Linked DNA regions of Cricetulus griseus. The protein of the gene in region 2 interacts with the protein of the main gene of each other region in a pairwise test. Links are inferred from orthologs where the notes say so. Each region holds a gene or a part of one and is shown on either strand. Other genes may lie near its edges. The genes, in order: Spatc1l, Fsd2 and Cchcr1.

Evidence for each region.
Region 1: the proteins of Fsd2 (region 2) and Spatc1l interact in binary tests that used the Homo sapiens proteins (3 or more experiments, as listed by UniProt). The two-hybrid records come from large-scale screens. The link is inferred for Cricetulus griseus from reciprocal best matches to the Homo sapiens genes FSD2 and SPATC1L.
Region 3: the proteins of Fsd2 (region 2) and Cchcr1 interact in binary tests that used the Homo sapiens proteins (3 or more experiments, as listed by UniProt). The link is inferred for Cricetulus griseus from reciprocal best matches to the Homo sapiens genes FSD2 and CCHCR1.

What each region holds. Positions count from the first base shown.
Region 1 is NW_023276806.1:262,165,990-262,169,643, reverse strand, and holds part of Spatc1l (speriolin-like protein), read left to right. Parts: intron 1-1,145; coding exon 1,146-1,493; intron 1,494-3,654.
Region 2 is NC_048596.1:115,996,067-115,999,720, forward strand, and holds part of Fsd2 (fibronectin type III and SPRY domain-containing protein 2), read left to right. Parts: intron 1-2,000; coding exon 2,001-2,133; intron 2,134-3,654.
Region 3 is NW_023276806.1:229,467,947-229,470,863, forward strand, and holds part of Cchcr1 (coiled-coil alpha-helical rod protein 1), read left to right. Parts: intron 1-377; coding exon 378-488; intron 489-810; coding exon 811-917; intron 918-2,120; coding exon 2,121-2,233; intron 2,234-2,623; coding exon 2,624-2,669; intron 2,670-2,825; coding exon 2,826-2,917. UniProt on the Homo sapiens protein: May be a regulator of keratinocyte proliferation or differentiation.

The DNA.
Region 1 (3,654 bases), on a different chromosome or scaffold from region 2:
GCCTCTGTGTCTCATTGTTGCTAACCACTATCAGAGACTGACAAACCTCATGCTATCTGACCAGGTCCCAAGGCTATGAGAGAGGGGTCTAGTTCTGTACTTTCACACGTGAAACACAGTTTCCCAGAACTATGTGTTGAAGAGACTCTTTTCCCAGGGTTTTTAGAGTTTTGTTTATTGGCCTACTTTGGTTTTCTGCCTCTTACGGAGCCATTTTACATCCGTTTGCAAGAGAAGCTCTCCTGTCAACATTTCTAGTGGTGTACTGCTGTCCATAAGTGTTTTCAGTGCTGTGAGGAGTGTCTGGGTAGAGGCCAGGAGGCCCTCAAGGACCAATGGGTCTTAGAAGGGCAGACAGGAGGTCTAGCATCTTGTTGGCAAGTTGTTGTTGTTCTTTTAACTTCTTTTTTCTTAGAAAATACTTTTGGGACAAAGCAGTTGGTTCCTGCATGTGTACATTTTGAGATGGGATGTTTTCTCAAGTACACTTGCTTTCTTGTTAAGAGAACAAGCTCTGGGAGATAAGACTCCCCAAGTCAAAGAACAGATTGATGAGGGCTGTGGAAAACAAGGGCAGTCAAAATGCACACGGCTGAGCTCAGGCGTGGCCACAGAAGGGCTCACTGAGAGTGAGGAGGTACATCCAGAGAGGCTGACCACAGCTTCCCTCTTTGTTCTTTTCAAGCACTGACCTTTGAACTCAGAGCCTAGCCCAGCTAAGCAAGTGCCCTACCACTGAGCCACCACCCCTAACCACAACTTTGCTTTTGTGATGAAAAGGGGTGAAAAGTCATTGGGAGTGCCTATGGGCCAGGAAACAGAGGAAGCTGGGGGTTCACAAGTGGCAGGATATGGATAAATATCAAAAATTTATGTTGCAGGAAAACTTATAGGATGATACCATTTGCGATGAATTTAAAAAGCACATAGGCATCACTGCAGTGAGTGTGGTTGTGAGCACATCATGGCCCATGTGCTTACTGTTGAGCTCACGGGACAGGGCTTCCTCCATCACCAGGTGAAGTGGCTAAGAAGGGCCCAGAACTCTGGGTTGGGAGCAATAGTTTCATCCACGTCTCTTTGTGCTTCCAATCATGTCCTGGTACCTCCTGGCTGACTTATTGTTGTTTTCTTCTCCACCCCAGCTCCAGATTTTGGACGGTTTGCCAGTGTCCCTGACACACCCTCTCAGCTACAGATATCTTCCTTGGAGGACCTGCTATGCTCACATGCCCCACTCTCCAGTGAGGACGAGGCCTCCCCAGGCTGTGCATCCACCTCTCAGGTGCCTTTCAAGGCCTTCCTCACTCCTGCAGAACTACATGCAAGAATTGCCGACAGAAAGATGTCCCCACTCCTGAGTCCCTTGCAGGATTCCCTGGCTGACAAAACCCTACTTGAACCCAGGGATATCGTGCGGCCTAAGAAGGTGTGCTTCTCGGAGAGTAACCTGCCCACTGGGGATAGGAGCAGGAGGACCTATTACCTCAATGGTATGGTGCACACAGGTGGCCCTGGGTGGGAAAACCATGTTTAGGAGACATAGCTGTGGCTAGCTTCTCCAGTGGTGCAGAGGAGAGGAGAGCCAGGGAGGGCCAGGGGCCAGGGTTATGTCTATCCTGGTCTTTTGGAAAAAACAGAGTCACTTATCCTCATATTTTTTTTTTCAAAATCTGTTTATGTAATTCCAGATATAAGTCCTTTTTTTTGGGCTTATGTTTCCTATGTATTGCCTCCCAGTCTGTGTGTTTTCCACTGTTTACTGTTTCACTGGGGGAAGGATGAAACTATTGAACATAGTCAAGTTGACCTTCCTGATACTTTTCTTTTGTATTTTGTACTGTCTGTGTCCAATTTAGAAAGTCTATGTTAAATCCAAGGTTACAGATTATCTTTATTCTTTTGGAAGTTATAAAGCTTTAGGTCTCTCACTAGTTACAAGGTTTTTGTTTTTTTTTTTTCATCAGTGGTATGAGGTTTGCATGCAGATGCTACTTCCCAACACCAACACTTGGAAAGATGGCTCTTCCCCAGGAACTACCCCAGCATTTTGTCAAAAACTGATCCTCTTCCTGCATGAGTCTATTTTTGGACTTTTATGTGGTGCAATACATCCATCTGTGTAGATCCACTAGATGTTTGTGGCTTCGTGTAAAACCACAAATCAAGTTGTTCGGGCTGTTCTAGTTCCTTCGTGTCTCTTTAGAGTCACTTTAGAATCAGAATGACCATTTTTGCAAAAGAAAGTCTGATGAGATCTTGACTGGAATGGTCTTGGATCTATAGGCCAATTATATTGATCTTTTTTTTTAGACAAATGGCACCTTTGAGAAAATGACATATTTAATTTTTATTTCTTTATTTTAATTGTTTTTGAAATTAAAATATAATTGTATGATTTTTCCTTTCTCTTTGCTCAGCCCTCCCATGTACCCATTCTCTCAAATTCATTATGGCTTCTTTTTCTTTAGTTGTTGATGTGTGTTTGTGTGTGTGTGTGTGTGTGTGTGTGTGTGTGTGTGTGTGTGTGTGTGTATTCCTAAATATATGAACACAACCTGTTCATTCTGTGAAGTTTTCTGTTCCACCTGGTCCCACTGTTCTTCAGTCTCAAATAAACACACAGAGGCCTATAGTAATTATAAACTGCTTGGCTGATAGCTTAGACTTCTTATTAGCTAGCTTTCTTTCTCTCTTTTTTAAAAAGATTTATTTACTTATTTATCATGTATATAGTGCATGCCAGAAGAGGGCACCAGATCACATTACAGATGGTTGTGAGCCACCATGTGGTTGCTGGGAATTGAACTCAGAACCTCTGGAAGAACAGTCAGTGCTCTTATCCCCTGAGCCATCTCTCCAGCCCCAGCTAGCTTTCTCTTAATTATTGACCCATTTCTATTAATCTAAGTATTTCCATACGGTCTTGTCTTACCGGAGAATGCCCAGACCTGTTACTCCTTCAACAGCTACATGGTGTCTCCCTATTGGCTCTCTCTCTCTCTGCCTTTTTCTTCCCAGCATTTTCCTTGCCTGGTAGCCCCACCTATACTCCCTTCCTGGCTACTGGACAATCAGCATTTTATTAAACCAATAAGAAAAACATATATTCATAGCATACAGGAATCCCCCATCATCTCCTCTTTTCTGCCTAAAGAAAAAGAAAGCTTTAACTTTAACAGTTCTGTATAATTTTACTTGACTTTTCTATTTGCCAACCTCAGTTCTCAAGATCTGTGGGATTTAATAACCATGCAAATTCTTATAATGAATCCCTCTGTAAACACACACACACACACACACACACACACCACACCAGACACATACATACATACCACACACACACACACACACACACACACACACACACACACACACACACATACATACATACACACACACACACACACACACACACACACACACACACACACACACACACAGACACAACATACACACCACACACACACACACACACACACACACACACACACACCACACCAGACACATACATACATACCACACACACACACACACACACACACACCCAATGGTTCTGTTTCTTTGGAGAACATTGATGAATATAATTTGTGTTCCAAAAATTTACCAAACTGGTAACTGTTTTGATAGATTCCTTCTGTTTCTGGGTTTTTG
Region 2 (3,654 bases):
CAAAATTAGCCACTGTGCTGCAGACTCAGTACTGCTGAGAGTGCACTAGAGCCGGCAGGTGGTGGCGCACGCCTTTAGTCCCAGCGCTCAGGAGGCAGAGGCAGGCGGATCTCTGTGAGTTCAAGACCAGCCTGGTCTACAAGAGCTAGTTCCAGGACAGCCTCCAAAGCCACAGGGAAACCATGTCTTGACCTGCCCCCCCACAAAAAGAAAGAAAGAAAGAAAAATAGTGCACCAGAAAAACCTAACTAAGGCATTGAAGGGGCTCCTGCACCATCAAAGAAAGCCTTTGCTCTCTATAGATGAAGGACCAAGCCCCAGAGAACTCAGGTTGGCTGAGAAAGTGCTAGAACTCAAGACTTCTTTTCATGCCCCAGAGGCTGACCTGCTGGATCTGGGTGCCCTACATATTTCTTATATCACTGTTTTTGTTTTTTTTTTTTTTTCTTTCCAGTTTTGTGTTTTGAAATAGAGTCTTACTCTGTAGCTCAGGCTAATCTGTAATGCAAGCTGACCTGGAACTCAAGGTGATCCTCCTGCCTCAGTCTCTCCAGAGCTGGGCATTACAGGTGTGAGCCATTACACCTGGTTTAGGTTTTTTTTTTTTTTTTATGACATTCTCGAGAATTCCAAGTAGCCACAGCCACCTCCCTGCCCCTGCTGTCAGACCAAGCACTTCCCCAGTTAGAAACCACCTGAGTTGAGTCTCCACCATTCAGCCTCTCCCTGCCTCCATGCTCTGTCTATCCACACTGGGTGCTGACATCCCTCCTCATCTGCTTTCATCATGTCAGAGAACTGGCATGTCCCATGTCCAAGTCCTGAGTGAGCAGAGACCTTATTAGAAACATCCACACCCCATCACGCCCTCCCCCGGCAGTACTACAGGTCTGCAACTGAGCTTTACTGAGGCCTCCTTAAGCTGCACAGAGTAATCCAGTTCAAGCCAGCTGAGTGGGTGGCCTTCAGGTGAGCAGCAGAAACAGAGAGCCTAGTCAGTGTTTGGGAACAAATTTCCTTTGACTGAGATCTTTTCACTGAAACACACTGTGCTTCTTTGTTCCCATTTGCATTGGCAGGAGAGGTCTGTGAGCAACCCACATTCATATTCCCGCCACATAGATGGGAAAACCAAGTTGGGTGTCTTGAAATAACAGATACTTGCTCTAAACAAACAAGCAATGACACGGAGGGCAAAGGCACAGCCAGCTTTATTTCCTTTTTTTTGAAACAGCAAAGGATTGAACCTTGGCACACACTCAGCACACAAGAGGCTGAGGCAGGAGGACTGCTACAAGTTCAAAGCCAGTTTGTGTAACAGAATGGTTTCAGATGAGCCTGAGCTGCAGTATGAGACCCTGTCTAAAAAAAGTAAAAACAACAACAACAAATCCAAACAAATTCCCTCAATTTTGTTTTCTTTGTCAAGGTTAGAAATTATTTTATTTATTTATTTACTTACTTATTTATTATGTATACAGTGTTCACCCTGCACCCCAGAAGAGGGCAGCAGATCTCATTATAGATGGTTGTGAGCCCCCATGTGGTTGCTGGGAATTGAACTCAGGACCTCTGGAAGAGCAGCCAGTGCTCTTAACATCTGAGCCAGCCCAAGGTTAGAAATTCTTACTCAGGTATCAACACAGCCTGCAAATTAAAAACCTGGTCTCTGGAATCAGAGAGGCGAGAAGTTCAATCTGAGCTCTATCATTTGCCAGCCTATTTCTTAACCACTTGTGCCTCAGTTTCCTTATCTACAAAATGAAGACAGTGACACCTGTGCCTAGGCACAGCCCTAAGGACTAAGAGAGACAAGATGTGCAAACTGCAAGGCACTGAGCGCTCAAGTGCGGCCACACCCACTCACAGGTTGTCCATGACTGCCAGGAACAGGCTTCTGTGCACCCGTCTGGACCCTGTGCTTGGTACCGCCACTAGGCCATGCTGGGGAAATCCCACAATGACTGATTGGGGCTTCTAGAAATCTCCTCCCTCCACAGGAAGCTACTTCCAGCTGAACAAGGACAGCTGCCATCCCTGGCTGACCATTTCTGAAGATGGCTTTACAGTGGTTCGAGGTGAGAAGAAAACTTTCAGAAGGGAGCTGCCACCCACCAAGACCCAGTTTACCAGGTATCTGACTGGACACCTGATGGAGCATTCGGGAACTTACCTAGTGCCACTGTTATTTAGAGGAAGTTGACCAAGACTGTGGTGGCCTCTGCAGAGGGAGGTCCCAGGCTGTGGAAACTATGGGATATGGCCAGGATATCAGGTCACATAGCATAGGGACAGAAACCAGGCTCTGAACACTTCCCCTGTTGAAGTGAAGGGTTCCCCTTAGGTCAGTGGGTCTGTGAGTCAGGAACCCCTTTGGGGGGTGGCTGAATGACTTTTCACAGGGGTCACCTAAGACCACCCTGAATATTGTATGTTTACATTATGATTCATAATAGTAGCAAAAGTTGCAGTTATGAAGTAGCAACGAAAATAATTTTATGTTTGGGGGTGACAGCGTCAGGAAGGTTGAGAACCACTGCTTTAGGCCTTCATAGTCCTGGAAGTTCATTTGGCAAAGCAACACATGCACTGCAGACCTGGAGGGAACAGACCATGCATGGCGGGCTCTTTTGTAGCTTCTTAATGAGTTTCATGAATATTTATTAGGCAGGCACCAGGTGACCCTTTCCCTCCCAAATCGGATCTCCTTTTTAGAGCATTTCTTCCGAGCCTTTAGAACAGCCAAGAGGAGTCAAAAGCACAATGCAAGTGATGCACAATGTCAGGTTTTCTAAGGACGCAGCCCCTTCCTGAGTGCATGTGTGGCAGTTGGGGAAGTATCCTGGGTCTTTAGTTTCTGGTATAGCAGTCAGAAATAACTGCAGCTTGCCTCTCCTCTGTTTATGCCCTCCCCCCATCACTCTCACATTGGGGTGCTTTAGACCAAAGTGGTGGAGTGGGCCAGTTCTAAAGTGGGTGCAGAAAATTCTTTGGACTTATACAAGACCTGAGGACAGATGCTACCGGAAGGCTGTCTGTCTGTCCAGTTTGCTTGTTCCTTCTAGAGCTCAGTTCATTTTGTTGAACTATTTACCTATATTGTCTTCTTTCTCCAAGGATATATAAAAGGCTTAAAATAGGGGCTACTATATAATAGGGAGAAAAAACATCAAAGCAACATAAGGAAGCGGGCAGATTAACTCCCAAAGATGAATCAATATCCAGGCTTTAAACAGTAGCAAACGGCCTCTCTACTTCCAGGTGGTCAAAAGTGAGAGTTCAGAGGACCTGCTGGGGAAGACAGGGGCTCTCCCATTGTCAGCAGCAGTGGGAGACACAGATCCTCACTGCCAGCTTTACCAGTACGAGAAGCCCAGATCACAGATGATTTCAGGATGAGGCAGTATTAGATAAAGCTGGAGTTTACTAAGAGAAGCCTTTCCTGTAGGGCAAGCATGGGTGAAGAGGCAGGCAAAGAAGGTTTAAGAAAAGGACAGTTGTCCATACTCAGGGAGGCGCAGGTGCTCTCAATCGAGTCTTGCTTAAGTGGGTTTTCAACTTATTTTGAGAAAGAATATCCTGTGGATGTGGAATACCTTAAATGTCTCATCTTCATGACCCTGTTTCCCAAGCACTGGGAGTACAGGTGTATGC
Region 3 (2,917 bases), on a different chromosome or scaffold from region 2:
CGCTGAGTTCGAGGCCAACCTGGTCTACACAGTGAGTTCCAGGGTAACCAGAGCTGTGGATGTATTTATTTTATTTTGTGTGTAGGAGTGTTTTGACCGTGTGTATGTATGTGTACTGTGTGCTCATGGAAGTCAGAATGTGTTGGCCACCCTGGAACTGGAGTAACAAACGGTTATGAGCCATCACACCCATCTCGAGGGTAGAGGGAATTGAACTCAGGTCCTCTGCAAAAGCAACCAGTGCCTCATAACCGCCGAGCCAGTGTCTCTAGCCCCACTTCAGAGATTCTGCCGGTCTCCTTGATTCTCCTTCAAACCCGGCGTTCCGCGCGGCTTTGGCTCTCGACTTGCCTGCCCAGCTCCCTCTGCTCTTCCAGGTAGCAGAGCTCCAGGAACAAGTGATGGCCCAGAGCCAGGAGCAGGCCATCTTGCAGCAAGCCCTGCAAGACAAAGCGGCGGAGCTGGAGGTGGAGCGCATGAGCATCAAGGTGTGGGCCGGAGAGAGAGAGACTGGAGGGAGGGTGAGGGAGACCCTGGGCGCTGCCGCGGGTCTGTGAGCCGGAGAGAGAGAGAGACTGGAGGGAGGGTGAGGGAGACCCTGGGCGCTGCCGCGGGTCTGTGAGCTGGAGAGAGAGAGAGACTGGAGGGAGGGTGAGGGAGACCCTGGGCGCTGCCGCGGGTCTGTGAGCTGGAGAGAGAGAGAGACTGGAGGGAGGGTGAGGGAGACCCTGGGGCTGCCGCGGGTCTGTGGGCCAGACAACAGGGAGGAGGCTTAAGAGAAAACACGAACACAAAACGGCATCCTCCCAGACCCTGCAAATGGAGCTGAATCGGGCTCAGGAGGCCAGGCGGCGGCAGAAGCAGCGGACAGACTCTGTCGAGGAGCAGCTGAAGTTCGTGGTCAGCGCCATGAAAAGGTATCTCTCAGGGCGGCAAAGCTTCCCAAGCCTCTGGGACCCTGAGGAGCCTCAGGCCTCAGGCGGGAGGGAGCATCTCTGCCTGGCAGTGTCTCCCGCTGTGAATTTAACCTGTCTGGAGCTGGGGAATCCTGCTTCCTGCAGTTCCGTCGGGTAGCCTTTGAAGCTAAGTAGGGCAGCTAGGTGGAGCCCGGGCTTCACAGCTCAGTGATAGGACATGGAGGGTCCAAACCTCCCCCGTCCCTTCCTCCTTTCCTGTGCTCTTACACCCTGTTTAGTTTGGAAAGCATCTAAATTGTACAGTCTATAGCACAGTGGAGCACTTGCCTGGCATTCAGGAATCCCTGGCTTCCATCCCTAGCACTTGAAGAGAAAGAAAAAAGAAAAAAAAGATGAAACTTTAGCCGGGCGTTGGTGGCGCACACCTTTAATCCCAGCACTTGGGAGGCAGAGGCAGGTGGATCTCTGTGAGTTCGAGACCAGCCTGGTGTACAAGAGCTAGTTCTAGGACAGGCTCTAAAGCCACAGAGAAACCCTGTCTCGAAAAACAAAAAGCAAACAAAAAAAAAAAGATGAAACTTTAAAACCCACAGAGAATCAGACTAGATTCAAAGAGCCACTGCCCTGATTCAAAGCATTGCACGCACCTCCTGCCCCCAGGGGGACTACTGGACCAGGCTGGTCTCAGACTCAAGAGATCCTCATGCCTCTGCCCTGAGCACTGGGATTAAAGGAGTGCGCCACCACCGCCTGGCTTCAGCTGGATGTTTTTATCTGGCAGGCATTTTTAAAGATCTGCTAAGGAGGGGCTGGAGAGATGGCTCAGAGGTTAAGAGCACTGACTGCTCTTCCAGAGGTCCTGAGTTCAATTCCCAGCAACCACATGGTGGCTCACAACCATCCGTTATGAGATCTGGTGCCCTCTTCTGGTGTGCAGATATACATGGAAGCAGAATGTTGTATACATAATTAATAAATAAAATCTTAAAAAAAAAAAAGATCTGCTAAGGAGCTTGGTTGACTTGCAAGATCCACTAAGGTCTTGTCCCTCCTGGTGGCTTTTGTTCCCCCTTTTTCTTGTTGCTTTACAGCCCACCTCCCCACTCATGTAACAGGATAGGACAAGCGTGTCCTGTGCATACACCCTGTGGGTCCTTCAGAGGTGAGGGGAGGGTGGAAGGTGAGTGACCTGTGTCTTTACAGCACTCAGGACAGCATCCATGGCACCATGACCAGGCTGAACCAGACTGTAGCCCGGATTCCCAGCCTCAGCAACCGACTCAGCTATGCCATCCGGAAGGTCCACACCATTAAGGGTGTGTGTCGCAGCTGTCCCACTGGCCTGTGCTCCTGCTGTCCTTCTGTCTGTCCCCACTGGCCTGGCCCCCTGCCTCTCAGCCCTAGATCTAACCTCATCTATCCTCTGTTGTCTTGGTAACGATCACTCTGCCCTGTGCTCTTGCTGTCCTTCTGTCTGTCTGTCACTGCCCTGTGCTCCAGCTGTCCTTCTGTCTGTCTGTCCGTCACTGATCTGTGCTCCTGCTGTCTTTCTGTCTGTCTGTCACTGCCCTGTGTTCCAGCTGTCCTTCTGTCTGTCACTGCCCTGTGCTTCAGCTGTCTTTCTGTCTGTCTGTCATTGGCCTGTGCTCCTGCTGTCCTTCTGTCTGTGTATACCCATCTTCCTGTCCTTTGCCTTTCCTCCTCAGGTTTGATGGCTCGAAAAGTGTCCCTTGCTCAGCTGCGCCTGCAAAGGTGAAGTTCAGGCACACAGAGGTGGAGGGTGTGTGGACATTGAGGGCAATCCGGTATTGGTGGCCAGGACGCAGAGAGGACCATGGAGGGATGGAGGCGCCGCTCAGGTGGCTGCTGAGGGAATTTCCTCTGACTCCTTTGTCATTTCTGTCCCAGCTGTCCCCCGCCCCCACCCGCACCCCCAGTGGATGCCGACCTGAGCCTTGAGTTGGAGCACCTTCGGGAAGAACGGAACCGCTTGGATGCTG